Anolis sagrei: one gene and its partners. The protein of the gene in region 4 purifies or fractionates together with the protein of the main gene of each other region. This does not show direct contact. Links are inferred from orthologs where the notes say so. Each region holds a gene or a part of one and is shown on either strand. Other genes may lie near its edges. The genes, in order: GOSR1, GOSR2, STX7 and BET1.

What was found.
Region 1: the proteins of BET1 (region 4) and GOSR1 purify together in Homo sapiens (affinity purification with mass spectrometry; 3 studies listed by BioGRID and IntAct, with this or other methods). This does not show direct contact. The link is inferred for Anolis sagrei from reciprocal best matches to the Homo sapiens genes BET1 and GOSR1.
Region 2: the proteins of BET1 (region 4) and GOSR2 purify together in Homo sapiens (affinity purification with mass spectrometry; 3 studies listed by BioGRID and IntAct, with this or other methods). This does not show direct contact. The link is inferred for Anolis sagrei from reciprocal best matches to the Homo sapiens genes BET1 and GOSR2.
Region 3: the proteins of BET1 (region 4) and STX7 purify together in Homo sapiens (affinity purification with mass spectrometry; 3 studies listed by BioGRID and IntAct, with this or other methods). This does not show direct contact. The link is inferred for Anolis sagrei from reciprocal best matches to the Homo sapiens genes BET1 and STX7.

What each region holds. Positions count from the first base shown.
Region 1 is NC_090031.1:28,938,814-28,946,800, forward strand, and holds the start of GOSR1 (Golgi SNAP receptor complex member 1), read left to right. Parts: upstream 1-4,921; 5' UTR 4,922-4,960; coding exon 4,961-5,042; intron 5,043-7,987. UniProt on the Homo sapiens protein: Involved in transport from the ER to the Golgi apparatus as well as in intra-Golgi transport. It belongs to a super-family of proteins called t-SNAREs or soluble NSF (N-ethylmaleimide-sensitive factor) attachment protein receptor.
Region 2 is NC_090026.1:45,855,674-45,863,521, forward strand, and holds the start of GOSR2 (Golgi SNAP receptor complex member 2), read right to left. Parts: upstream 3,166-7,848; 5' UTR 3,083-3,165; coding exon 3,054-3,082; intron 1-3,053. UniProt on the Homo sapiens protein: Involved in transport of proteins from the cis/medial-Golgi to the trans-Golgi network.
Region 3 is NC_090021.1:81,872,425-81,879,798, reverse strand, and holds the start of STX7 (syntaxin-7), read right to left. Parts: upstream 3,384-7,374; 5' UTR 3,268-3,383; intron 2,691-3,267; exon of another isoform or gene 2,497-2,690; intron 1-2,496. UniProt on the Homo sapiens protein: May be involved in protein trafficking from the plasma membrane to the early endosome (EE) as well as in homotypic fusion of endocytic organelles. Mediates the endocytic trafficking from early endosomes to late endosomes and lysosomes.
Region 4 is NC_090026.1:101,765,056-101,772,607, forward strand, and holds the start of BET1 (BET1 homolog), read left to right. Parts: upstream 1-4,428; 5' UTR 4,429-4,622; coding exon 4,623-4,641; intron 4,642-7,552. UniProt on the Homo sapiens protein: Required for vesicular transport from the ER to the Golgi complex. Functions as a SNARE involved in the docking process of ER-derived vesicles with the cis-Golgi membrane.

The DNA of each region.
Region 1 (7,987 bases), on a different chromosome or scaffold from region 4:
TCTCTCTAATTAAAGGAGCGCTCCCCAACTCTCTCTCCATTCCCAATAAGTGGAAAAGGCAAGACGAGGAGGAGGAGGGAGGAAAGTGGGGAAAGAGGCAGGACCGGAAGTGGAAGCATCCTCCCTCCTTCCTTCTGTGATTTCCACGCTCTTCTGCATCTGGGCACTTCCTGCTGGGCCCTCTAGCCCTGAGGCGTTGCCTTGCCTTAATCCTTTGAGTCTCCGTCGTTAGTATTTTAGGTGTCTAGCACTGCGTCGGACAGGTAACAGTCAGAGACTCCCTATTATCCGACATTTCGTTTATCCGACGTTCTGCCAGCCTGTTTATATCGGATAAGTGAGACTCTACTGTACTAAATTTGCAAAATTTAGTAGTCGTTCTCTCGGACTTTTTGCTTCCAATGATTGATCTGACATGAGAATAACAGTTTCAGTTCCTCCCCACTGAATCCTTTTCTGTCTTGCTCTTAACTTGCTTTCAAGGAGCTTTTTCTTCATCCCGATCCTAAGCAGCCCTTCTCTTCTGGGAAGCGTTTGCCAGAGATGTCTATTTTTGTAAAGGGAACCAGGCCTGGTGTAAAAGCCTTCTCACTGACGGCCGTCTTTCTTTTCATTTTATGTTGGGGTCCGTGCCTTTTCCAAAGCAAACGCCTCGTTTTGTGGCTCTCTTTCTGCCCAAGCCGAGTGCATTTGGCATGTGTGCGCGCGTGGGTGTGTTTTTTTAACATGTACACTGAGCTCTAATCTGTATAAAGCTATTTTATGAGGTCTCCCCTCCCTGTGTCTGGTTTGCTTCGTTCGTGATGGCTTCCTTTGAGGCTGAGAGAGTGTGCCTTGGCATTTAAGTCATTAAACCTTATGTGAGGCGCACTTTTTGTTGCCGCTCTCCAAAGTGCACAAAAACCTCCATGTTCATTATGTTTACATCATGTAAGCGCTTCTACACGGAGACAAATATGCACATGGAGGATACCCTTTTGGATTTGGAGTACATCCTTAGATCCCCAGGAAATGGGACCTAAAAAGGAGATTATTCATATACACCTGAATTCTTCTTTGTGGAGTCTGTGAAAGACACACATATGGGTCAGATATGGGTTATCTTCTGCGCATGCACAGCTGATAACCCATATGTGATTCATATGAGCAAATTCACAGACTACCACTAAAAAAAAATACAGAGTTACAGGTAAGCAACTCATTAGTCCATGGTTTACACAATATTTCTAATAATTTTGAGCAGGAAGCAATGTTTGAGTATATTGAACTTCTATAATGGAACCTACATATAGAACCTATATTTATATAAGTATATATAGATCTATAGAGAGAGAGAAACTATATAACTTCTATACATTTATAATATGTGTGTGTGTGTGTGTGTGGAACCTACACATAGAACCTATATCTAGGTATATATATAGAGAGAGGAGAGAAACTATATATAACCTATATACATTTATAATAGTGTTTGTATATAACACAGACACATATATAATGTGTGTGTGTGTGTGTGTGTGCACGTATGGAACCTACACATAGAACTTATATCTGTATAGGGGGGTGTGTGTGTGTGTGTATGAGGGGGGGGAGGAAACTATATATCCTGTATACATTTATAATAGTGTTTGTATATAACAGACATATAAGCTATATATATTGTGTATATACATATGTAACCCCTCTCCCTCTTTCTCTCTCTCTCTATATATAAATATAACCTGCAAACATAATTCCCATACACATGTATATGAAACCATATATCTATATATAACCTGTAAACAAGTATAATAGTTGTTTGTATATAGACAGAACCTACATATATTTATATATAACATTATGCATACATAATAGACTTATATATAACATTATGCATACACTATTATATGTGGGTATATATATGTAACACACACGCATATATATACATATATATACACACACACACCTGTATACTCTCTCTTTCCCTCCCAATATATATGTGTGTACGATATATACACACACACACACACATACATAGATGAAACTCATCTGTATATGGAACCTATACACACACACATATGTAACTAGTCTGTGTGTGTAGAACCTATATACCTATATATAGAAATATACATATATAATAGATTTTCAGCTTCGAACATATGGATCTCTGGGTGGAGGTGATTCCTTCAAGTTGTCATGGACAGATCACTTTCCGGTCAAGGCTAGTATCACAGCTTCAACCTTCCCCTGCAGAGATGGAGGACCTACTAAAAGGGACAGCCTTCAAAGGCTAATTGATCCTTTGAGATTCCAAGAGGTTTTTAGGGGTTCTGTGGCTGGCATCACCATTGACAATCCTGTTGAAACCCTGGTCAATAAGTGGAACCAAATCTAACCAGGGTTACTGACACGATTGCTTCCAAACCTCTCTGATCATTTACAAATCAGGCTTTCTGGTATACAGAGATCCTTGGGAAAATGAAAGGGGAAAGACATCGACTTGTTTTATGCAGCAAAACACTGTCTAGAGGGCAACTCTGCTCCTATAAGTTGGCAATACTTACAGCAAAACAAACTGTAAGGTTTAACTTGGGTGCTCTCCCTTCTATACTCTTTATTTGAACCTTCAGTATGTGATGCTTTTCATGACCATTTCACAGTGAAAAATGTCTCATATAAGAGTTGATTTTGATGCTGTCATTGGAGAGAGGCCAACGATGAGGTGTCGAGCAACTCTGTGAGTGGGATTACACTGGATCAGTCTCAATTGTTGAGTACAAAGGTGTGGACAATTCGCTTCCTTGATCGCTGCCCATCTTGGCTGCTGAAAAAAAAAACCCTCCCAGACCACTCTCTAAAACAGTGTTTCTCAACCTTCTTAATGGCACGACCCCTTAATACAGTTCTTCATGTTGTAGTGACCACCCAACCATAACATCATTTTTGTTCCTACGTCATAACTGTAATTTTGCTACTGTTCAGAATCGTCATGTAAATATCTGACATGCAGGATGCATTTTAATTCACTGGACCAAATTTGGCACAAATACCCGATACACCCACATTTGAATACTGGTGGGGTTTGGAGGGGATTGATTTTGTTATTTGGGAGTTGTAGTTGTTAGGATTTATACTTCACCCACAACCAAAGTGCATTCTGAACTCCACCAATGATGGAATTGAACCAAACATGGTACACAGAACTCCCATGACCAACAGAAAATACTGGAAGGGCTTGGTGGGCATTGACCTTGAGTTTTGGAGTTGTAGTTCACCTACGTCCAGAGAGCAATGTAGACTCAAACAATGATGGATCTGGACAAAACTTAGCACGAATACTCAATATGCCCAAATGCGAATACTGGTGGAGTTTGGGGAAATTGACCTTAACATTTGGGAGTTATAGTTGCCGGGATTTATAGTGCACCTACAATCAAAGAGCATTCTGAACTCCACCAATGGTAGAATTGGGCCAAACTTCCCACACAAAACCCCCATGACCAAGAGAAAACACTGTTTTCTGATGGTCTTTGGCGATCCCTCTGACACCCCCTTGTGACCCCCCCAGAGTATATATGTAAACTAATATTTATATGCATGTATTTTATTTATTTACGACATTTATATGCCACCCTTCTCTCCCCAAAGGGGACTCAGAGCAGTTTAGAAGCAAAATGTAAATACAATATATTCTATTATTTCCATAGCATAATATTAATATTATATATTACTATATTGTACTATAACATTATACTATAATATTATTAGGGTATTGATCGTGTCAATAACCTATATATATATACACACACACATATATATATAATCATATATAGATGTATATGTATGTATATGTAAATAAATAAATAAATGTATATATGTGAATATATATGTGTATATATGTATACACACATACATGTTACTTACTTACTTAGGCGATCCCTCGTTGGACGAGTAAGATGGTCTTCCATCATGGGTTTCCTTGTGGGTCCGTATGTGGCTGTGGAGCCCTATTCTTGCTCTACATCTTCTCCCACAGTGAGGGCATTGGTTTCCAGGTGGAAGGCGGTCCCAGTTGGGGTTGGCTTGACGCGCCTTCCTCCTGGCACATTTCTCTCTTTCACCCTCCACTCCTGCCTCCTCGAATTCTGCAGCACTGCTGGTCACAGCTGACCTCCATCTGGAGCGCTCAATGGCCAGGGCTTCCCAGTTCTCAGTGTCTATGCCAGAGTTTTTAAGGTTGGCTTTGAGCCCATCTTTACATTTCTTTTCCTGCCCATCTTTAAATCTCATACATGTACATACATATACACATATGTATATGTAAATATATAATAAATGTATGTATGTGTATATATGTGAATGTATATATGTATACACACATAAAGGTACATACATATACACACATATACATATGTATGTATATGTAAATGTATGTATGTATATGTAAAACCCCAAACATATACATACATATGTATAAGTATGTATACGTAAATAAATAATAAATGTATGTATGTGTATATGTGTGAATGGATATGTGCATATATGTATACACACATGTACATACACATGCACATATACATATGCATGTATATGTAAATAAATAAATAAATGTATGTATATGTATATATGTGTATGTATATGTGTATATATGCATACACACATACCTGTACATACATATACACACATGTACATATAAACACGCACACTTATATAAACACATACATATGCATACACATATACCGTATACACATATATACACATATCCGTATACATATATATATAGTCGAGCCATATATCTTGCTTTCAATTAAGAAAGCTAAAAGGGAAACAATTGGGTTGGGCCTGGCCTCCAGCCGCTAGGTGTCGCTGCGGAATGTTTGGATGCCGGCCGCTCTAGCGCGCCCTCTATGCTCCCTTAGAATAGAAGCCTAGCCTCCGACCGGAAGGAAGCTGCGGGCGGCGCTCTGGCCGTACTCGCTCTATGGCGCGGCTGACGTTGGACACAACAAAGATGGCGGCGGGAGGCGGAGGCGGTAGCAGTGGGAGCAGCAACTACTGGGAAGGTGAGCGGGCTGTTGGGGGGAAGGCCCCGTTTGGGGAGCGGGGAACGAGGGGAGGCCGAGGAAGGAGGCAGGCGGGAGAGCGCCAAGGAGCCTTGCCTTGGCACCGAAGCCCCTCCAAAGGCCTCGAAGCCTTTCCATTGGCACTGGACCCCATAGAAATGCCCAAAACTCCACTCAGAGAAGGCCGACAGTCCTTCCTTTGGCACTCAACTCCTTCAAAAGGCCCTGAAACCCCCAAACAGGTGCTGAAGACACTTCCTTTGGCACTAGGCCCCTTCAGAAGGTCCTGAAATTACCAAAATAGGGGCTACAGACCCTTGCATTGGCACTAAACCCCATATAAAAGCCATACAAAGATGACTTTTCCCCCTGACATTAAGTCCAGTCATGTCTGACTCTGGGGGGTGGTGCTCACCTCCATTTCTAAACCAAAGAGCCGGCGTTGTCCATAGACACCTCCAAGGTCATGTGGCCATGGGCATGACTGCATGCAGCGCCGTTACCTTCGCACCAGAGCAGTACCTATTGATCTACTCACATTTGCATGTTTTCGAACTGCTAGGTTGGCAGAAGCTAGGGCTGACACCGGATGCTCACGCCGCTCCCTGGAATCAAACCTGCAACCTTTCTGTCAACAAGCTCAGCAGCTCAGCGCTTTAACCCACTACGCCACTGGGGTGCCATAAACCCCGCTAAATGAATGCTAAAAGTCTTACGCCCTTCCCATGGACATTAGATCAGCTCCTTCGCTAATGGTGTTTCGAAGAAAACTAAAAACCTGGCTGTTTGAACAGGCATTCGGATAAGCAGCACAATGAATATGATGAATATAGGAACGGAATTATAGCTGACGAATTGGATCACGACTCTAGTTATGAGACGTTAATGTGTTGTTATTAATATGTCATTACTTTGTATGCTATGCTGTTAATGGTTTTTAAATTGTATGTTGTTATGATTGACTTTTGCTCTTGTGAACCGCGTTGAGTCGCCTACGGGCTGAGAAACAAAGCAAAGTAAATAAATAAATAAATTAGCACTACACCCATTCAGAAGGCCCAGAAATCCCCAAACAGGTGCTTAAGACACTTCCATTGGCACTAGGCCCCTTCAGAAGGTCCTGAAACTCCCTACATGGAGGCTACAGAGCCTTGCATTGGCACTGAACCCCATAGAAATGCATTAAACCCTGCTAAATGAATGCTAAAAGTCCTTACATTGGCACTAGACTCATTCAGAAGACCCGGCAACCATCAGACAAGTGCCACAAACCATACTCCGGACTCCGGACCCGAAAATTTCCATCAGTGCCTTGAGGCTGTTACTGGATGGTTGCGTGAGGGTGAATCCAGCGAAGAGGGAGATCCTTTGGCTGGGCCGTCTGGGTGGGAGATCCAGCTGCCTACCCTGGATGGCGAGACACTACGTCTGTCACCTTCTGTAAAAAGCCTTGGTGTCTTATTGGACCCTCTGCTCACAATGGAGGCCCAGGTCTCTGCTGTGAGCAGATCTGCGTTTTTCCACCTATGTCAGGCTAGGCAACTGGCTCCCTTCCTATTTAGGAACGACCTGGTTATGGCGATCCAGGCGACGGTCATCTCGAGGCTTGACTACTGTAACGCCCTCTACATTGGCCTTCCTTCGTCAGTGATCCAAAAACTGAAGCTGGTGCAAAATGCGACGGCTCGTCTTCTCGCCAGGGTGCCAGTGAGGTGTCGTATCACCCCAATTCTACAACAGCTGCACTGGCTTCCGATTGAGTACTGGATTACTTTCAAGGTGCTGGTACTAACCTTTAAGGCCTTATATGGTCTGGGGCCGGCATACCTGAGGGCCCGCTTATCCCCCTACCAACCCCAGAGATTACTTTGGTCCGAGGACCAAAATTTGCTTGAAGTCCCCAACATCCGGACTTATCATCTGTCCTCTACTAGGCAGAGAGCCTTCTCGATTGTGGCCCCTTATTTATGGAATGCCTTGCCAGTTGAAACCCGAACCATCCTAGAGCTACTTACTTTTCGGAAAGCCTGTAAAACCTTTCTTTTCCAACAAGTTTTCGATGGGTGAATAACTCGGGACTATGTCGGTTCTCGTTTTTATTGTATTTTAAAGTTGGTTGTATTGTTTTAATCTACTGCTGTAAACCGCTCCGAGCCAAATTAGGAGTGGCAGTATACAAGTCAAAGAAATGAAATGAAATGAAAACCTTACATTGGCATTAAAACCCCATTAGAAGGCCTTAAACCCCCTTCAACTCATGCTGATGATGCTTTTATTGGCACCTAGACCAATATTTAATGTTATTTAAAACATTTATATTCTGTCCATAACACCCCCAAACAGGTGATAAAGACCCCTTCAAAAGGCCCTAACCCCCCCCCCCATTTATTTATTTATTTATTTATTTACAACATTTATATGCCGCCCTTCTCACCCTGAAGGGGACTCAGATCAGCTTACAAGGTATATATACATACAATATTATATTATTAACATAGTCCAAACGGATCTCTCCCTATGAACCATCGTGGAGATTAAGATCCTCTGGGGAGGCCCTGCTTTCCATCCCGCAATTGTCACAGGCACCATTGGTGGGGAAGAGACAAGGCCTTCTCGGTGATTGCTCCCCGGCTATGGAACTCCCTTCCTGGTGGGACCAAGCTTTCGGGACAGGGCAATAAAGCAGCAATAGGAAAGATTACCAGGCCAATTAGATTTGACGTGGATGACGTCAAAATAAATGATGTATTTTAATATTTTGATAAATGTTTTTAATGTTTATGTACGTATATAAGAATTGGTGTCCCGGCATTGAATGTTTGCCGTATATATGCTGTGCTCCGCCCTGAGTCCCCTTCGGGGTGAGAAGGGCGGAATATAAATGTTTTAAATAAATAAATAAATAGTACAATATCAGTATTAAATATTACTATATTGTACTATAC
Region 2 (7,848 bases), about 56 Mb from region 4:
TTCTAGCTTGTTAATATTTTTTCTGAATTGTGGGGGGCCAGAACTGGACATTATATTCCAGGTGAGTCTGACCAAAGCAGAACAGAGTAGGTCTATGACTTCTCTCGATCTAGACACTATACTCTCATTGATGCAGCCTTGAATCTCATTGAATTTTTGGCTGCCACATCGTAGAGGTAAATATAAGGAGAGGCGTAACAGATGAAATGGAAGGGCCGACATATGCAGACTTACATCTGAATAAACATGAGGTTGGGATTTGTTTCTGAGCAGGGATACAACTGAACCCACTTAAGGCAGCAATCCTCTGAAACTCCACTGGTCACATGAACATTTTCTCATGACATTTAAAACAAGTGCTTTGCCATTAAACCGTGGTCCTCAATCATCAGCCAACCCACATATGATTGCCTTGCAGATGCCCCAAGTCCCTCTTCTATTCCACATGGCCATTCATTGAAAGTTGGAACTCAAAACAGATGGACTTCATTTTTTTCTCAGGCCCCTTCTACACTGCCATATAAAATCCAGATTATCTGCTTTGAACTGGATTATATGGCAGTGTAGACATATAATCCAGTTCAAAGCAGATAATGTGGATCACTTGCTTTGATAATCTGGATTATATGGCAGTGCAGAAGGGGCCTCAGTAACTTCATTTTGCTGAGCCTCTCTTCCTCACCCTGCAATGTGGAAGTAATACTTATTTCACAGGGATATAATAGAGGGTTGTGGATATGTAATGATATATAAATTGCAGGTATTATTATTATGACAACTTCTATAGCTACTGCTGCCATCGCCATATGCCACAAAATATTTCTTTCTTTCTTTCTTTCTTTCTTTCGTTTTATTAATCGCTATAACTATCCTCTGTAAATGAAACCCTTCAGGTAGTTCACCCTGCTGCCATCTGTCCAACTTATTACAGATAGCTTGAGTATCCCTTATCCAAAATGCTTGGAACCAGAAGTGCTTGGGATTTTGGATGTATTTCAGATTTTGGCATGCCTGTACTTGCATGTACAGACAATCCCCGAACTACAAATATCCAAGTTACATACAACTCATAGTTAAGAACGGGGATCAGACAACAGGAAATGAGAGACATCTACCTCTAGGAAGGGAAATTCACTCTTCAAAGAGAAAATGGGGAATAGGTATTTCTACTGAAGCTTTATCTCCAAACCTTGTTTCCACAACAAGACAATTCTTTCAAAAAACAAATATCACAGGGACAGAAAGTAAGGGGAAATCTTCTGAACAGGGGCACAGACAGCAATACAAACACCACGGGGGTGTTAACCCTTCCCTATGCTATTCAAAGTGCATGTACAGAGTTACTGTTCTGATTTCCATACAAATTCAATTTAAGAATAAACCTGTAGAACATATCTTGTTCATAACTTGGGGACTGTCTCATGAATTGCTGTAGCCATTCTCCATAAATGCAACCCTTCAGGTGGCTTGCCACCTACCCAATTTCTTTACACACTGCTTGAGTATCTCTTATCCAACATGCTTTGAGATCAGAAGTGTTTTGACTTTCAGATTTTGGCATACCTGGACTCACCTATATACATCCATAATGTATTGGGAAATACACTGGGGGATGGGACCCAAATCTAAGCATGAAATTGATGTATGTGTCATGGGCCCCTTTTACACTGCCATATAACCAGATTATCAAAGCAGATAATCCACATTATCTCCTTTGAACTGGATATGAATCTACACTGCCACATAATCCAGATTATCAAAGCAGAGAAGTCAAATTATCTGCTTTGAAGTGGATGATGAGTCTACACTGCCATATAATCTAGATCAGGGGTCCTCAAACTAAGGCCCAGGGGCCAGATATGGCTCTCCAAGGTCACTTACCCGGCCCTCGCTCAGGGTCAATCTAAATCTGAAACAACTTGAAAGCACACAACAACAACAACAATCCTATCTCATCAGCCAAAAACAGGCCCACACTTCCCACTGAAATACTAATAAGTTTATATTTTTTAAAATGTTCTTCATTTTAATTATTGTATTATTTCTAAGCGTTTTTGGCGCTACACATAAGGTATGTGCAGTGTGCATAGGAATTCATTCATGTTTTTTTCAAATTATAATCTGGCCCTCCAATAGTTTGAGGGACTGTGACCTGGCCCTCTGTTTAAAAAGTCTGAGGACTTCTGATCTAGATTATCAAAGCTGACAATCCACATTATCTGGTTTGAACTGGATATGAGTCTACACTGCCATATAATTTAGACTGTAAAAGTAGATAATCCACATTATCTGCTTTGATCTGGATATGAGTCTACATTGATATATAATCCAGACTGTCAAATTAGATAATCCACATTATCTGCTTTGAACTAGATGATACAAGTCTACACTGCCGTATAATCCAAATTATCAAAGCAGAGAATCCACATTATCTGCTTTGAACAGGATATGAGTCTACACTGCCATATAATCCAGACTGTCAAAGTAGATAATCCACTTTATCTTCTTTGATCTGGAGGACATGAGTCTACATTGATATATAATCCAGACTGTCAAATTAGATAATCCACATTATCTGCTTTGAACTGGATGATACAAGTCTACATTGCCATATAATCCAGATTATCAAAGCAGAGAATCCACATTATCTGCTTTGAACAGGATATGAGTGTACACTGTCATATAATCCAGACTGTCAAAGTAGATAATCCACATTATTTGCTTTGAGCTGGTCTATATGAGTCTACATTGCCATATAATCCTGTTCAAAGCAGATAATCTGGATTTTATATGACAGTGTAGAAGAAGCCCTAAACACCTTACACATTTACCTTCATTTTATATATATATATTCGGCATTTTTAATAATGTTGTGTATGGAAGTCTGCAGACACTGACCCATCAGCCACTCTCCCAGCCCTCCCCCATGTGGAGAATTTTGGGTTTGGGGCTCCTTAGGAGGAAGGATGCTCAAACCCTGCCAACCCCCTTCTCCTTCTCCCTCCCCTTCCCCAATCCCAAGATATTTCACGGGTTAGACCCAAAGCACGCACTTATTCGTCTGGTGGTAAAGCGCTTCCATCGTGGCAGGTCCCTCAGCCTGGACTCTACTCTCCAAGCGCGCTTTAACACGTCAACTTCTCTCTCAGAGGCCGGCGCTTCCGGTTTCCGGTTTGCTAAAGGCCCTCTCGTGACGTCGCCCAACCCAAGCTAGCCGTCTATGCCACTGCCTGAGCAGAAGAGCAAAACAGAGCAGGAGAAGAAAGAGGAATGTAGTCGCGCTTTGGTTTAGGAGGGGGTCGGAGTGGGGTGGCTTTGCATACAGAATTAATCTATGTTATTCTGCTCTAAAGGATTTTTTAAATCTCTAGGTATGTTTTTTATCCATTGAAAATGGAATAGAAATGAAAATAACAAGGATAAAATCATGATGAGGATGAGGATGATGAGCATCTCTTGTCCAAAGTGCTTGGGACCAGAATTGTTTTCAATTTTCCGAATATTGTTGAATTTGGATTTTGGAATGTCTGCACTTGCATGTATAATATTATTTATTATAATATTATTTAGTATATATTTATTATATATTATTTTGTTGTTCATTCGTTCAGTCGTCTCCGACTCTTCGTGACCTCATGGACCAGTCCACGCCAGAGCTCCCTGTCGGCCATCACCACCCCCAGCTCCTTCAAGGTCAGTCCAGTCACTTCAAGGATGCCATCCATCCATCTTGCCCTTGGTCGGCCCCTCTTCCTTTTGCCTTCCACTTTCCCCAGCATAATTGGCTTCTCTAGGCTTTGCTGTCTCCTCATGATGTGGCCAAAGTACTTCAACTTTGTCTCTAGTATCCTTCCCTCCAATGAGCAGTCGGGCTTTATTTCCTGGAGGATGGACTGGTTGGATCTTCTCACAGTCCAAGGCACTCTCAGCACTTTCCTCCAGCACCACAGTTCAAAAGCATCGATCTTCCTTCGCTCAGCCTTCCCTAAGGTCCAGCTCTCACATCCGTAGGTTACTACAGGGAATACCATGGCTTTGACTATGTGGATCTTTGTTGCCAGTGTGATGTCTCTACTCTTTACTATTTTATCGAGACTGGACATTGCTCTCCTCCCAAGAAGTAAACGTCTTCTGATTTCCTGGCCACAGTCTGCATCTGCAGTAATCTTTGCACCTAGAAATACAAAGACTGTCAGGGCCTCCACATTTTCTCCCCCTATTTTCCACTTGTCAATCATTCTTGTTGCCATAATCTTGGTTTTTTTGATGTTTAGCTGCAACCCGGCTTTTGCGCTTTCTTCTTTCACCTTGATTAGAAGGCTCCTCAGCTCCTCCTCGCTTTTGGCCATCAGAATGGTGTCATCTGCATATCTGAGGTTGTTAATGTTTCTTCCAGCAATTTTCACCCCAGCCTTGCATTCATCAACCCCCGCACATCGCATGATGTGTTCTGCATACAAGTAAAAAAGGTTGGGTGAGAGTATGCAGCCTTGCCGTACGCCTTTCCCAATCCTGAGTCTGTTGTTCCGTGGTCAGTTCTTACTGTTGCTACTTGGTCCTTGTACATTACATTACATTATACATTGTACATTGTACATTGTACATTGCATTACATTATAATATTATAAATACAAATAGATAATATTATATATATATATATATATATATATATATAGTATAATATTATCTATTTGTATTTATAATATTATAATGTAATGCAATATAATACTACTAGCAATAATATGATATTATAATTATATATTTATATTACATGTAATATTACTAATCTATATAAATAAAAATGTAATGTTCGTTTGTGGGATTAACAGAACTCAAAAACCACTGGACAAATTGACACCGATTTTGGACACAAGACACCTAACAACCCAATGTATGTCCTTCACTCAAAAAAAAAATGATTTTGTCATTTGGGAGTTGCGGTTGCTGGGATTTATAGTTCACCTACAATCAAAGAGCATTCTGAACTCCACCAATGATGGAATTGAACCAATATTGGCACAAAGAACTCCAGTGACAAACAGAGAATACTGGAAGGATTTGGTGGCCATTGACCTTGAGTTTGGGAGTTGTAGTTCACCTGCATCCAGAGAGCACTGTGCACTCAAACAATGATGGATCTGGACCAAACTTGGCACGGATATTCCATATGCCCAAATATGAACACAGATGGAGTTTGGGAGAAATAGACCTTGGCATTTGGGAGTTGTAGTTACTGGGATTCACCTACAATCAAAGAGCATTCTGAACCCCACCAACGACAGAATTGGGCCAAAACATTCAACACAGAACCCCCATGACAAACAGAAAATATTTTGTTTTCTAGTTGTCTTTGGCAACCTTTCCGACACCCTCTCGTGACCCCCCCCCCAGGGGTCCCAACCCCCAGGTTGAGAAATGCTGCCTTAAGGCCATCCAGTCCACCTCCCTTCACCAGGGTAAGAAAACATAATTAAATCCCTTCTGACAGAGCCATCCAGCCATAGATATAGATAGAAAGATATGGTTCACACACACATCCACACACACACACACAGGGACCCCTAAAGAAGGCCTTCTGTGATTTTACTGGGAAAGAAAGGTGACTTGTATGACAGGAAGAGAGGGAAGATGGGAAAAGCCACAAAGAGAGGCTCTCTCAGAGCTGGAGAAGGGAGAAAGTGGAGGGAGGAAGAAAGAAAAAGGGAAGCAAGAAAGGAAGAGAAAGGAAAGTGAAAGGCACGAGGAAAGGAAAGAAAGAGAAAGACAGGATTAAAGCTGGGGGAGACGTCCCTCTGACACCCGGGCAACGCCAGGTACATATGCTGGTAGCAAAATAATTATCATTTCCTACATTTATTGTCTAACATAAAAAAATGGGGGGGGGGGGGAGAGAGAGAGATCATTTAATGTATTGTCGAAGGCTTTCACAGCCGTTAACATTGGGATGCTGTGTGGTTTCTAGGCTTTATGGTAGTGTTGTAGCAGCCTTTTCTCCCGATGTTTCACCTGCAGCTGTGTCTGGCATCTTCAGAGGATCACTTCTTTTACCACCATCAGATCTTCTGAAAATGCCAGCCACAGATGCAGGTGAAACTTCAGGAGAAAGGCTGCTAGAACACAGCCATACAGCCTGGAAACCACACAATACCCCAATGATCATTTAGTACACTTCTGATCCATACTTCTTGAGTGGGCTGATTATTTGGGTGATCCAGATCTGCTTGATCGTTTTAGGTTAGAAGCTCAGCCCTCCTGGTTTAATCCAGACAGAAGCATCCCTGAACGGTTGCTATGAATAGTTCCAGGGGAACCAAGAGAAAGTTGTGGAGGAGGTGTTATAAAGAGAAACTTTTGATAGTAACTTTTATTAAGCCACAATTACAATTCCATCCTTGAAGTGAGGCAATTGGAGATCCACATTACATGCATTAATTTGTCTTTTTCTCCATGTAACTACACCTGTGGTCCCCTCAGGACCTCCATGATATCAAAAGAAAAATGGAAAACAAAGATCAGGAATGGCAATACTTGTACTGTGTGAAATGGGACTGAGAAGGGGAAAATTGTGGCAGACTTTTGGAGACACTGATTGGCCACTCGGTTGCGAATGGCGGATATAAATATCATATGGAATATTTTTACATGTGTACAGACTACATTTTGCCTGAATTGAGAGGTTGGAGCAAGTCACCATCTTTTCATGCTCTGCTTGGGATTTCCTGGAGAGACATTTGGCTGGCAGCTATTGAAAAATGCTCTTAAAAATTTGGTGGAGCTTTGATCTGATCCAGCAAGGCAGTTTCTATGTGCACGATGTCTTGTGAGAGCCTAAAATACTAAGTCATTTCAAAATGCTTTCTTGGTATTTCAGTAATCTTAAGATAATTGCCTTTGAGGAAATAACATAGCATGACCTTCAACTGCTAATAGATTAAAGTGAAACGTGCTTCTAATTATTCAGCTACAGGTCAATCTGAGGACTTTCCAAATTTGCAGGAAATTACCTTTCCACTAATGTTACCAACTTTACATTTCTTGGTCAGCTCCTCCTTCTCCCACCAACTTTTCCCATCCTGTTCCCCTCCCTGACTGAGGTTTGAGAGCCCCTGAGAAATTGTTTTTCTGGTCTTGAAGTAATATTACTTTATATTGATTACTTCGAGCTCAGCCCCAATGCTCTTGTTGTGTGCCTTCAAGTCATTTCCAACTTGTGGTAACCCTAATGTGAACCTATCATGGGATTTTCCTGGGCTGAAAGTAGCTTGCCAAAGATCACCCAGTGGGTTTACCAAATAGATAATTGAACCCTGGTCTCCAAAGTTGTAACCCAAACTACTACGTCATGTTGTCATAATACCCTATCTAAATATTAAATTAGTGGATGAATTATGGATATTATAGAGCAGAATATGAAAGAGTTGCAAGATGTTCCCATGAGTACAAACCCTTTTACTTCCTTTATTTAGTTCTTGGTATTTTAGTCAATAAAGTCTATACATATGATGGAAAAACAGTAAGGAAAGAATGACATCATTTATAGGAATCTAATGAATGTATCAAGGACTCCAAGGTCACATCACAATTACTACTAACACTCCTTTTCACACCAGGCAAACAGTGCTTCCAGATGGACATCTCCTACATCAACTTGCCATTTCTCAAGTCGCTCCTGACACGATAAAAAAATATCCTACATCACTAGTATGATGTGATCAAAAGACAAGGAAGAGGTAGAAAAGGTTGAGGAGGATAAGACATTATCTGGCACTGTAAAATTCCACGTCTGAAATAGGATCTTGACTGACAAAAGGCCCATACAAAACATCTTAAGTTCCTCTTTGGCTAGGG
Region 3 (7,374 bases), on a different chromosome or scaffold from region 4:
TGTTGCATGCTGATAAAGAATAACTGCTGAGGAAAGAGGTGACTTTGTCTTCACTCTTTCGCCCTCAACTTAAGAATATAAGGGCTATCTACAGAATTGACAACCAAATGCCTATGAGAAGCCCTCAAGGCAGTTTTGACTGGAATAGCAACCTAGCAGTCATACTGTGTTCCAACAGCTCAACTCAGGACTGGAGGGAACACATACTCACCAAAAATAATATTCGCTGCCAGTTTATCTTGTTTCAATTTGTCCCATGTTCTTCTAAAAACTGTCATTATTATGTGGCAGAAATATCCATATTAACTATGTGGTGTGCAGATAAGTGCAGGTTGAGCATCCCATATCTGAGATGCTCAGGACAAGAAGAGCTTTGGATTTTTTGGATTTGCACACACATACATGAGATCTCTCAGAAATGAGATCCATGCCTAAATGCTAAATTCATTTATGTTTTATATATACCTTATACCAGGTATGGGCAAACTTCAGCCCTCTAGGCAGGTGTTTTGGACTTCAACTCCCACAATTCCTAACCGCTGGTAGGCTGTTAGGAATTGTGGGAGTTGAAGTCTAAAACACCTGGAGGGAGGGCTGAAGTTTGCCCATACCTGCCTTATACACACAGCCTGAAGGTAACTTTAAACAATATTTTAAATATTTTTATGCACTAAAACAAAGTTTGTGTACACTGAAGAAATCAAAGGTGTCACTATCCCAGACACCTACATGACCAATTGTAGAGCATTTCAGATTCTGAAATTCCAGATAAGGGATGCTCAAAGTGTACTTCATTCATCTCTAAAAAGCAATCACTCCTGACCCCTTATTTTCTTACAGGAAAAAGAGAAAACACGTGGCAAACCGTTTTATACATATTTACCATAAAATACTGAATCACAATCAATAATATAGTCTCCTTCTCTGGATGGGGATCTGTTGGGGGTGCTTTGATTATGTTTTCCTGCATGGCAAGATTGGACTGGATGGTCCCTGAGGTCTCTTCCAAGCCTATGATTCTATATCACTGGAGCACCTTCTTCACGGCCATATAAAATCCAGATTATCTGCTTTGAACTGGATTATATGGGAGTGAGTCCACGACATGCAAGTGTGGAGGAGAGAAAACCACAGACCACTTAGTACAAAGCAACCTGAGCCCTGCCACATGCATGATGTAGGATGTTCTTATAGTGACACCAGAAGTACTCCAAGTGGCCAGCTACTGGTGAAAGGACATTTAGCATAATGCCAAGTTTTTAACTTTGTTTGTCTTTTAAATACATTTCAATTGTGCCCTCAATTCACTTGTGACATGATAAATATCAATAAATCTAGTTCAAAGCACATAATGTGGATTACCTGGCAGTGTAGAAGAGGCCTGGGATAATCAATGTACTATTTTAAATGTTGTGGGCTGTTTTGAGTCTCATTTAAGAGAGGAAAACACGGTATAAAATATAATAATTATTGTATTATATTACGACGATCTTCACTTGAACTTTCTAATGTATATTTATAATTGTTTAATGTATATAACTGTATTTTATGCTATGTTTTGTTGTGTCAGCACTAAATAGTGGCCTGTTGGAAGGCGTCCTGAGTCCCTCTTTGGAGGTTGAGAAGGACGGGATAGAAATGCTCTAAATAAATAAATAAATTATTGTGTTATTGAAGGCTTTCATGGCTGGAATCACTGGGTCACTGTGAGTTTTCTGGGCTGTATGGCCAGGTCTCAGAAGCATTCTCTCCTGACATTTCACCTACATCTATGGCAGGCATCCTCAGAGGTTGTGAGCTGCCATTGATGTTGGCAAAACGTCAGGAAAGAATACCTCTGGAACATGGCTATACAGCCCAGAAAACTCACAGCAACCCAATAATCTATATAAATAAAAATGTAATGATAGTTTGTGGGATTAACATAATGCAAAAACCACTGGATGAATTGACATCAAATTTGGACACAATACACCTATCAGGCCAACGAGTGACCATCACTCCTAAAAACAAAACAAAAAACACACAGTGGAAAGGACTTAACCCCCACCCCCACCCCAACAAAAAAACACATTACAGCACATGACCAAAAATGACTCCCTGCAAGGCTCGCTTCCCAAGCAAGAAGTAGAGAAGGAAGGAAGGACAGGAAAAAAGGAAGGAAGGAAAGAGGGAGGGAAGAAAGGAGAGAAAGAAAGGGGGGGGGGAAGAGAGAAGGATGGAGGCAAAGAGTGAAGGAGAGAAAGAGGTAGTGAAGGAAGAAAGAGAAAAAAGAAGGGAAATAAAAAGGGGGAAAGAAGGAAAGAGATTGAGAATGAAGGAAGGAGAGAAGGAAAGGAAAAAAAGGGAAGGAAGGAAAGAAAGAAAGAGGGAGGGAAGGTTGGCCACAGCAACGCCTGGCAGGTACACTAGTACTTATTATTAGCCAGTTACATTCATCCACAAAGAATGGAAATCCAAAACACAGAAGAGAAGGATGTAAGGAAGCCTACACACGCCCAATAACAACAACAACACAATCCGCGCCCCTCCTGAGGCGATTCCCCCCAGAAGGAATGCCCAAGTGGAAGCAGTGGCTGCCCACACGCCACCATCACGTGTCCCGGCTGCATTGCTCCCTCTGAGCGTGTCACGCCTGCAAAGACACGCATTCTCCCCGGCCTAATGCCATTCCCCTTAATCCGACGGGGTTGCGGGGTGCCTCCGTGGAGAAGCCGTGATTCCTTCTCATCACGGTCACATGATGGCTCCACCCAGGAGGAGAGGGAGGAGACACCAGAAAGGAAGCCTTGTTTTCCATGGCTGGCATCATGTGCCACCCTCCCATCCCTGGGCAGGCTCCACCATTCGCACACAAACACACAGGGAGGGGCGTGTTGCTGCAGAGGAAAGGCAGGAAGGAGAAGAGGAAAGGGAAGAAGAAGGAAAGGGCGGGGAAGGAAGCAAAGGAGGGAGAGGAAAGGAAGGAAAGAAAGGAGGGAAGAGGGGAGGGGAAAGAGAGACAGAAATAAGGGGGAGAGGGGAAAAGACGGAAGGAGGGAAGGGAAGGGAAGGGAAGGGAAGGGAAGGGAAGGGAAGGAAGGAAGGAAGGAAGGAAGGAAGGAAGGAAGGAAGGAAGGAAGGAAGGAGGAATGCGGGCTGGCGCCTCCCTCCTCCGCCCCCTCTAGGCAGGCAAGCAGTCATTCCAACAAACAAGGGAGAGAGGAGTCTCTGCCAGAGCTGCATTCGGGCAAGCGGGAGGGAGGGAGGGAGGGAGGCCGCCCTTACCTCTCAGCCCCGCTCAGCACCGCGTCCCCATCGGGCGAGCCGGGTTCCGGGCTCCAGCTCTCTGGCGCTCAGCTGATCAGCCCGGGTGACCACGCCCCTCGGCCAAGCTCCGCCCACTCGCTGCCGCACCAAAGGGAGGGGCGCTGCCTGGCCCCGCCCACTCCCGGCCTTTCCGCTGACTCTACACAGCGCCGCGTCGCCATTGGAGGGATCGTGCAGTGCCTTCTTTTCACCGTCTGAAGTCCTGTGGCTTCCTCTTGGGGCTTGTAGTTCAGAGGAGGGACCTTTAAAATGCTCAGCCAGCCTCACTAAACTACAAGCCCCAGAATTCTCTGGGAAAGAAGGCAGGCACAGGATTTCAGATGGGATGCGTGCTCTGTTTTCAGCCCTAGTGTGATTAGGCACTAATCGGAGGACTGCCTCATAAACGCCTCCAAGGACCTTATCAGACAGCAGAGCCCCCGGTGGCGCAGTGGGTTAAACCCCTGTGCTGGCAGGACTGAAGTCCGACAGGTTGCAGGTTCGAATCCGGGGAGAGGCGCATGAGCTCCCTCTATCAGCTCCATGCGGGGACATGAGCAAAGCCTCCCACAAGGATGATAAAAACATCAAATTGGCCGGTCCCCTGCGCAACCGTCCTTGCAGACGGCAAATTCTCTCACACCAGAAGCCACTTGCAGTTTCTCAGGTCGCTCCTGATGCGACAAAAAAAAAAAAATCATACAGCAGTCTTGAGACTTACTTACTTACTTACTTAGGCGATCCTTCCTAGTCCGAGTAGGATTGTCTTCCAATATCGGTGTACTGACGGTGGGTCCGTAGGTAACTATGGAGCCCTAATCTTGATCTGCATCTTCTCCCACAGTGAGGGCATTGGTTTCCAGGTGGAAGGCAGTCCCGGTCGGGGTTGGCTTGATGCACCTTCCTCTTGGCACGTTTCTCTCTTTTGCCCTCCATGTGTGCCTCTTCAAATTCTACAGCACTGCTGGTCACAGCTGAGCTCCAGCTGGAGCGCTCAAGGGCCAGGGCTTCCCACTTCTCACTGTCTATGCCAGAGTTTGTGGTGATAGTATGATAGCTAGGTCCGGAAGTGCCGAGCGTTACGCACATTCCGCAATAGCGGTTGTGAATAAGGGAAGGGGAGAGCGGCACACTGAGGGCGGGAACATACTTTAATTTGGTGGAAGGATAGAAAGGAGGGGAGGGTTAGGATTAAGGTTTAGGGTTTGGGTTAGAATTAGGCTTAGGTTTAGGGTAAGGACAGGGGTGGCTCAACCCATTACGCAAAGTAAGCATTTACAGTATAGTTGATTTTGCCCAGGGGTGCTCTTGAGGCGCTCTTGGGAGGAAATGGACCTTGACATATGTGGGTTGTAGTTACTGGGATGTATAGTTCACCTAAAATCAAAGAGCATTCTGAACTCCACCAATAATGGAATTGAACCAAATATGGCACACAGAACTCCCACGACGAACAGAAAATATATATCTGATTGGTTGGGGGGGGGGGGCAAAAATACTGTTTGCTTACCGTTGAAAATTATTTAGGGCCACCTCTGGGTAAGGTTAGGATGGGTTAGGATTGGGGTTTGGGTTAGGATAAGGGTTAAGGGCCGGGTTTAGGGTTAGGGCTTTACCATTAAAGAATTCTTACATTCCTTCTATATCTGTGTTCCGTTCTGCATTGTGCAAACAGGAGCGAAGCGGAAACAGCGTAAGGCTCAGAGCTTCCCGACCCAGCTTTCATACTATTACCAAGGTTTTAAGGTTGGCTTTGAGCCCATCTTTAAATCTCTTTTCCTGCCCACGCTCATTCTGTTTTCCATTCTTGAGTTTGGAGTAGAGCAACTGCTTTGGGAGATGGTGGTCAGACATTCGAACAATGGCGGGTCCAGTGGAGTTGATGGCGGAGGACCATCACCTCAATGCTGGTGGTTTTTGCTTCTTCCAGCACACTGACATTTGTCCACCTGTCTTCCCATGAGATTTGTAGGATCTTTCGGAGGCAATGCTTCCGCATCACACTTAGACAATGATATGTCTCCACTCCCAGCTTTTTTTCTTCATGCAAACCTGCCAGAATCTCTTTCCATTCTGTCCTTAGCAGCGAGCTGTCATCCCTCTTTAGGGAAGAGCATAATAACTCCTCCCCTTGAATTTTTTTTACAAAATATTACAGCATAATATAGCATAATAGTGGCATTGGAGAATAGATGGAAGGGTAGTTTTCCTTTAGTGGTTTGTTCCAGTTATAATATTGTACTTAGCAGAGAGCTGCCATCCCTATTTATAGAAATGCATGATTACTCCTTCCTATGGAAAACAATGGTATCCGTGCCTCAGAGGGTTTAGATCAGTGGTTCCCAACCTTTTTTTTTTTTACCTGGGACCACTTTGACCAGGATCCACCTTTCAACATTAGTATTAAAAGGGTTATGAATCTGTTTTGGTCAACTTTAGATCGCATTGGATAGACCCCATCAGTTCTAGTTTCTGATACAGAACATATGCTGAACATTAAGATCGTCTGAACGTATGCCGACCAGAACATTAAGATCGTCTGGGGAGGCCCTGCTCTCGATCCCGCCTGCGTTACAGGCGCGCTTGGCGGGGACGAGAGACAGGGCCTTCTCAGTGGTGGCCCCTCGGCTATGGAATGCCCTACCGGCAGACATCAGACAGGCACCTTCGCTGCTGACGTTTCGGAGAATGGTTAAGACCTGGCTTTATGAACAAGCGTTTGGTTAAGCAGTGCAACCAATCATAGGAAGACGGTAAATGGAACATAGGAATGGCACAAGGATTATGAGAACGGATCTGATTTCAACTGAGGTGTTATGTTATGTCTGTTTTGTTGATCTGTCTTGTTGATTGTTAACTGTTGTGGATTGATGCTGTTGATCCTGTTTGTTGCATTGTTATGTTTTAATTGCACTGACACTGTTTGATAATTGTACCATGTAAACCGCATTGAGTCGCCTGTTAAGGGCTGAAAAATGCGGTATAGAAATAAAGCAAATAAATAATAAATAAATATGCCATCCAGTAGTCGCCATTTGCTCACCCACAGTATTCTGACTATAGAAAGTCAAGTGGGCCAAACTACAAAGCAAACATAGTATCACAGATGCATGCTGGGGCATGACACATAGAAAACCATATTTAATAAGCCTTGGCACTATAAGAGGGTTTTGCGATATCAGTCACTCTCATTGCAACGGTGTAGTAACAATGTATTGTCAAAGGCTTTCATGGCCGGAATCACTGGGTTTTTATAAGGTTTTTTCAGGCTGTATGGTCATGCTCCAGAATCATTCTCTCCTAATGTTTTGCCTGCATCTATGGCAGGCACCCTCCCAGGTTGTGGGGTCTCTGAGGACCTCACAACCGTAGATGCCGATGAAACGTCAGGAGAGAATGCTTCTGGAACATGGCCATAGATACTGAAAGACTTACAAAAACCTGGTGTACTAACAGTGAGGCTGTGGATCATATTTCTGTTCTTGCGGACCACTGGTGGTGCACAGATCACAGGTTGGGAGCTACTGTTTTAAAGGAAAGAACTGGCAAAACCACCTTTGAGTATTTCTTGCTTGAGAAAATATGCAATTTGTGTGATAGGTAATTTGAAGGCACACCTCTCTCTCTCTCTCTCTCTCTCTCTCTCTGCTGTGCAAAATTTCAATTGTAATTCATTTGTCGTATCTACAGGGTGAGGCAGCATAACTTCCTTTTTTCAAAACTTAATCAAACCCATTGTATGAATCAGAAATTTTTATTTTTATAATGTAGGCGCTTACCTAAAGTTTTGTTTTACGTAGTTTTGAAGATCAAATTAGGTAGGTGACATCCCCCATTCTCCATACACTAAACTGAGTAAAATGATTTCTGGCGTTTGTCATGATTTAATAGCAGGCGTTATGTTGGCAATTTCTTCCTGGATGTTGGTCTTCAAATCTTGTATGGTCCTTGGATGGTTCACATAAACACGGGATTTCAAAAAACCCCATAGAAAAAAATCACAAGGGGCCAAATCTAGAGAGCGGGCTGGCCACTCCAAATCTGCTCGAAAAGTAGGCCTCAACGGCAAAAGCACGCTCCTCACTA
Region 4 (7,552 bases):
GTTCAAAGCAGATATTCTGGGATATAGGGCTGTGTGGAAGGGTTTCCCTTCCTCTTCTGCCACCACCTCCTTCTCCTTCCACCTCTACTGTACTAATATTCTCCAAAGCAAAACATCCATCACAATTTATAGAGGAGATGTCAAAACAATGGAAGGTTTTCTGGAACAGGAAAAAAAGAAAAAGCTGACACTTTCTGAAATAATGGGAGTTGTAGTTGAAAAACTGTAACTATATTATTCAGAGGCTGTGAGGTTCATGGAAGAGAAATCCCTGGTTGTACTGAACAATCCAGATTATAAAAAAGGAATATACTTTTCGACTTCAAACATGTCCATAATCTCACCTTGGATTGTTTTACTGTGTTGTTTTAGTGCTGGGCTATGAGTTTGATTTTCTGCTTGGCCATTGAGTGACCTTGGGTGACCAACACACTCTCAGTATTGGAAAATCACATGATCGGGTCACCATAAGCCAGAAATGGCTTTGAAGGCACACAACAATCACAGGAAGGAAATAGATGAGCACTAAAGGGAGCATTTTATCCTAGTGAGCAGACCCCAATGATTTATGTGATTGCAATTAGCAGCTTCTATTGTGCAGGTACAACTGTACCAGGAGCTCCAATTTTGTTTGCTTTGCATTGAATGTTTGTTGTAGTCCTAAGTTTCAGGGACTCTGCAGATAGGTAGCTTCATAGGGCAAGCCACCTGTCAATTATAGTTAGGTTCCCTGGTCCCGCCCCCTTTTGGGGTTTTTGGAGGGAATAGGTGCCATTTTGGGTTCAGTCCATACAGAGAAGCCTTTCATGCAGGACATAAAACCAAGAGCTCCTGTAGAAAGCTTCGTCTTCTACAGCTTGGCCGGGGAGAAAGGTCCCATAGCTTGGCCGAGGATTATACAGCCTTACAGCTCCTTTGCTGAGGGAGTTCAGCCAGCCATCACTGAAACCTGAACTCCTTTTTCCTCTGGAAGTCTACAAAGCTCTGCTTGGTAAGGGTCACTCGTGGAAGCCAAAAGCAGTTGGTACCGGGTGCAGGGGCTCCACGCCAACAGAGGCAAAGACAGACTGACCAGATTAGAAGTTAAGCATTTCCCCATTAATTAGTATACAGTTATGAAGATAGTGCCTGTTCCCTGTGGACAAGATTGAGAGAGCCAATAAACTGTTAAGAAAGCCTTAAAGTACCTGTTTGTTTTCAATAATAAAGAACTTTGTTGAACCTTTAAGCAATCTAAAGATTCTGTCTTAAGGAAATCCAAGGGCCTTTAATCTGAGGCAGCCCCGGCGTCCCATTGGGCACACAGAATTTATGTCCTGTCTACAGTCTTATGCACAGGTCCAGCGTGCAACAGCACATCTATTAATACAGCTGTAAGTAGTTAAATTTATTTATCATATCAGAAGCAAACCAAGGGCACAGTTGTAATGTATTTTTAAAAAATGCAAAGTTTAAAAACTTGGCATTATATTAAATGTCCTTTGGCCAGTAGCTGGCCACTTGGAGTGACTCTGGTGTGGCTATAAGGAGATCCTCCATTGTGCATGTTGCAGTGCTCAAACTGCATTGTAATAGGTGGTCTGTGGTTTGCTCTTCTCCACACTCACATGTTGTGAACTCCACCTTAAAGCCCCATTTCGAAAGACTGGCTCTGATCTTGTCGTACCAGAGCATAGACTTCCAAGTTACCCAGTCTTTTGTGTGTCCAGAAGGGAGAGAGTAGATAAATGAATAGGAGGGAAGCTAAAACCTACACAATTCCCTTTTGGAGAACCGCTAGCACATGTTTCAAGGGAATGTACTCTTTCTTTCATGCTGCTGATATAGTGGATTGTGCTTATAAAAATTCTCAGCCATTATCTAATTATTATGATGGATCACCCATTAACTACCAAGACTTCCTTCTGAAAGCCATCTTTTTTATATAAAAAAACTAACTGACTGCAGATTTAGATTCAAATGCCTAAAAGCCCAGGATAACAGCTTGGTTGCTCACTAATGATGTCAGGCAACATCTGTAAGATCACGGGAGGAAACAGACGGTGAAGAACAGTCATTAAAAACCTTACACTTTAAAAAAAGTGGAAAAAGCCCCAAGAGCAGGCATAAAATGTATATAAATCCATAAAGTGTTTTCTTAAAGGGGACAGCTTCAGCTCTGTACAATTATGTATGCATTTGCTTTATTTTTATCCCGCTTTTCTCAAAGTGGCTCACAATAACTATTTGAAAATGCTAATTAAAACTAACGTGATTGCATTAAAATATAAATATATAATTATTTATTAAAGCTTTCTACCAACCTTAAAACCCCAACCACTCTTTTTAAAAAACCCATCCCTTATCAGTTTATAATTATCACTTTATAAATGCCTAAACTGTTGAGCTGCTAAACCTGATGACCGAAAGGTTGGGGGTTCGAATCCAGGGAATGGAGTGAGCTCTTGCTGTTAGCCACAGCTTCTGCCAATCTAGCAGTTCGAAAACAGGTAACGGTGCTCCATGCAGTCATGCTGGCCACATGACCTTAGGCCAATTGGATTTGTTGCAGATGGCTAGGACGGTTTTAAATTGTGTTATTTTAAATGGTGTATTTTAATATTTAGATAAATGTTTTTTAATGTTTATGTTTTGGACCCAGGCATTGAATGTTTGCCATGTATATGTTGTGCTCCGCTCTGAGTCCCCTTCGGGGTGAGAAGGGCGGAATATAAGTGTTTTAAATAAATAAATAAATAAATACAGACAATTGGTTTAGAAATGGAGGTAAACACTCCCTACACGCAACCCCCAGAGTCAGACACGACTAGACTTAACATCAAGGTGAAACCTTTACCTTTTGCTTAATGGTAGAGGAATACTTTCAGGTTCAACCATGTAAATGGAAGAGCCAAAATCAAACTGGACATATTAATTGCATGGATTAGCTTAGTATTGTATATGCTCTGGTTTTATTTTGTTGTAATTTGTTGTCCGGGCTTGGCCTCATGTAAGCCGCTCCGAGTCCCCATTGGGGAGATGGTGGCGGGGTATAAATAAAGTTTATTATTATTATTATTATTATTATTAGTCTTATGAATGAAATAAGAGTCAATAGGAGTTTCAGAGGGAATTTCTCCAGAAATGTGGACAGCATTGCAGAGATATTTGGAGGTGCTCTTTCTTTCAAAATATACACAGGCAGTCCTCAAGTTAAGAACGAGATGGGTTTGTTCTTAAATTCAATTTGTATGTAAGTTGGAACATTTATAAAGTATAATTCCACGCACGCACACACACACATATATCTATAGAGTTTGTTTTGCTGCCTATGACCTTGTTCAGAAGATTCCACCTCACTTTCTGTCCCCATGATAATTGGATTTTGAAAAATGTGGCAGAATAGAGGTGTAGCATGACTTTCCTGGATCTAGACAGTATACTCCTATTGATGCAGGCCAAAATCCCATTGGCTTTTTTTTTTTTTTTTGCCGCTGCATCACATTGTTGGTTCATGTTTAACTTGTTGTCCACGAGGAATTCAAGATCTTTTTCACACCTACTGCTCTCGAACCACGCGTCCCACATTCTGTATCTTTGCATTTCATTTTTTCTGCCTAAGTGGAGTATCTTGCATTTGTCACTGTTGAACTTCATTTTGTTAGTTTTCGCCAATCGTATCTTTAATTTGTTACGCTCGTTTTGAATTCTGCTCCTGTCTTCTGGAGTATTGGTTGTTGTTGTTCATTTATTCATTCAGTCGCTTCCGACGCTTCGTGACCTCATGGACTTGAGCTCCCTGTTGGCCGTCACCACCCCCATCTCCTTCAAGGTCAAGCCAGTCACTTCAAGGATGCCATCCACCCATCTTGCCCTTGGTCGGCCCCTCTTCCTTTTTCCTTCCATATTCCCCAGCATCATTGTCTTCTCTAAGCTTTCCTGTCTTCTCATGATGTGGCCCAAGTAATTCATACTGGAGTATTGGCTTTGTTGTTCATTCGTTCAGTCGTCTCCGACTCTTTGTGACCTCATGGACCAGCCCACGCCAGAGCTCTCTGCCGGCCGTCACCACCCCCAGCTCCTTCAAGGTCAGTCCAGTCACTTCAAGGATGCCATCCATCCATCTTGTCCTTGGTCGGCCCCTCTTCCTTTTGCCTTCCATTTTCCCCAGCATAATTGTCTTCTCTAGGCTTATTGGCTATCCCTCCCAATTTATAAATCACATAGGCCAAAAAGAATAATAATCCCTTTTCTTTTTTTAGTAAGAGTGGCTTTACTTTGAAGTGAGGATGACAGAAAAGGGAAAAATGAGTTCCCCACTCAAAACAATTCAAGACCCAATCTGTGCTAGCTTGAGTCAGCAGAAGCACTCATTCAAGCAAAGACTACATTACCCAGGAGCATCTGCGGCTGAGGGTTCTCTCTCTCTCTCTTCCTGTTTTCGCTTTGCCGGGACTACGCTACCCAGAAGCTCTCGCGAGAGCCAGCTCATTCAGGAAGTGTTGCGGCGCCGGCTCCAGCGCTGTCGTGGCCTTTGTGGGGTGATCGGAAGGGGAGTTCGTGGTGAGGCCTTGGCCCCTGGGATCCGCGGGAGAAGAGGCCTTTCCCCTCTATCCATCCCTCGCTTTCCTTGGCGAGCCGTCATGAGGAGGGCCGGGCTGGGTGAGTGAGGACGGGGGGCTTCTTTCCCGCCCTGCTTTAAGGGGGGCTGCCAAGGAGAAGAAGGGGAGGGACTCTCCTGAAGGCCCAAGACAAGGCAGGCAGCACCACAGAGAGAGCTTTGGGACACACACACACATACATATAAGTGTCAGATTATATATATCAGGCTTGGGCAAACTTCGTCCCTCCAGGTGTTTTTAACCTCAACTCCCACAATTTCTAACAGTTGGGTTGCTGTAAGTTTTTCTGGCTGTATGGCCATGTTCCAGAAGCATTCTCTCCTGACGTTTCGCCCAGTGATTCTGTCCACGAAGGCCTTTAACAACACAGCCAGCAGGTTGTTATGAATTGTGGGAGTTGAAGTTCAAAACACCTAGAGGGAGGAAGTTTGCCCATGCCTGATATATATGCATAGGTAATGTGTGTTTATATAATATTGATGTAGATAACATCTTCATGTGTGTATGTATACACACACATTATATATACATATACATACACAAATTTATTACCTATATATAAATAATATAATAATACACTTGATTTATAACCTGCTACCATCTCCCCAATGGGGACTCGGTGAAGCTAACATGAGGCCAAGCCCAAAATAATACAGCATAATAAACACACAGTAACAAAATACATCATAACAAAATATAAAATAACAAAACCAACAACATAAAACAGCATATTAAAACCAGACACGGAGGGTGGGCCAAATATGTGAGGTAAAATGTTTAAAAAGTTAAAACCCTGGGTGAGATAGGGATAAAAGTGCATTAGTAGGAAAGGAGCCCAACAGGGAGAAACCATGGGATTTAGCCATTTTAGGGGGTGGGGGGAGGAGAGATGCTTTTTTCTGAGGGCAGCTGTAGACTAAGACAACCAGATGGGTTGAATGGTCATTCTCCAAAAGCACAATGGAAGAGCCAGGTTTTTAGGTCTTTCTTAAAACCAGCTAGGGTGGGGGCTTGCCTGATCTTCTTAGGCAGTGAATTCCAAAAGTGGCGGGGCCTCAGCGGAAAGGCCCTCTCCCTTGTTCCCATAAGACGAGTCTGTGATAGAAGAAGGGGCGAGAGAAGGGCCTCTTCAGCGGATCGAAGAGATCGTGCATGTTTGTGGTAGGAGATGTAGTCACAAAGGTAGGTGGGTCCCAAACCGTTCAGGGCTTTGTAGGTAATAACCTGCACCTTGAATACATATTAAACACACACATTGTATATGAAAACACACTTATGTATCTATATCTATATACACAAACTATCTATCTATTCACATATAGAATCATAGAATTGGAAGAGAGCTCATGGGCCATCCAGTCCAGCCCCCTGCCAAGAAGCATATACATATAGATGCATTCATACATAAATGCATTAACACTTAACTCTTGGAATGATTCCATAAGCTCTGCTTCCAAAAATTCCTTCAAATATCTTGGGAAGATAGGTGAACAAATGTCAGTGTGCTGGAAGAAGTGAAGACTGCCAGCACTGAAGCGATGATTGTCCACCATCAACTCCTTGTCCAAATACCTGATCACCATCTCCCAAAGTGGTTACTGTACTCGGAAGATTGGTGGACAGGAAATGAGATTTAAAGATGGGCTTAAAGCCAGCCTTAAAAACTGTGGTATAGACACTGAGAACTGGGAAGCCCTGGCCCTTGAGCACTCTAACTGGAGGTCAGCTGTGACCAGTAGTGCTGCAGAATTCAAAGAGGTATGAATGAAGGGCGAAAGAGAAATGCGCCAAGAGGAAGGCGTGTCAAGTCAACTCTGACTGGGACCACCTTCCATCTGGAAAATGATGCCCTCACTGTGGAAGAATATGCGGCTCAAGAGTAGGTCTCCACAGCCACCTACAGGCCCACCACTAAGACACAACACTTGGAAGGCCATCATACTTGGACATGAGTGATCATTGATGATGACACTTTTATATATATAAAATACACACACACACATACACACACACCTACATGTGCACACACATTTTATACACACACACATATATATTCACATATATCTACATGTACACAAATAACATATACACACATCTGTATGTACACATACCTTATATATACACACAGAGACAATTTATGTGCAATATATACATACATACATAAACATGCATTATATACACACATCTACATGCACACATACATTATATACATACACACATATTTACATAAACATGCATTACATATTATGTAAACTCATATATGTATGCATAATTTATAATATGCATGTATGCACACACATATATATGTATTTATCTACACACATAAACATACATTATATATACACACATAATTTTATGTATACATAAACACATATATGCATGTGTATGCATGTATTCTCTCTTTTAAGAGAAAAGTAGCATATTAATAAATGTAACTATTGCCATATATACACACATACATATAAAAATTGATTTCCTACCTATCTGAACTACAGTGACCCTCAACCAATAAGCCTAGGTGTAGAAGAAGTCCACAAATAGGGTTTTATATGAAGAGGCTGCAACCTTATTTCACTTCCGGTATTCAAAGCAATTCCTTGCCTTCTTTAAGATATAGATGGGAAACCTTAATCCCTGGGGTATGGTAGCCAGTTCAGATCATCCCAAACCCTGAGGCTTCCATGGCAAAACCTGAAACCTGGGGTGCATTTGGACTGTAGAACTAATGCTGTTTGACATAATTTGAACTGCCATGTCTCATGCTATGGCATCATGGGAGTTGTAGTTTGATCAGGTCTTTAGCCCTCTCTGCCAAAGAGTGCTGGTGCGTCACCAACCAAAAATCTCATGATTCCATCTCATAGTGCCATGGCAATGAAAGTGCTGTCAAATCGCATTAATTCTACAGTGATAATAAACCCTTAGGAAGGCTTTCAGTCAATGTTACTTAA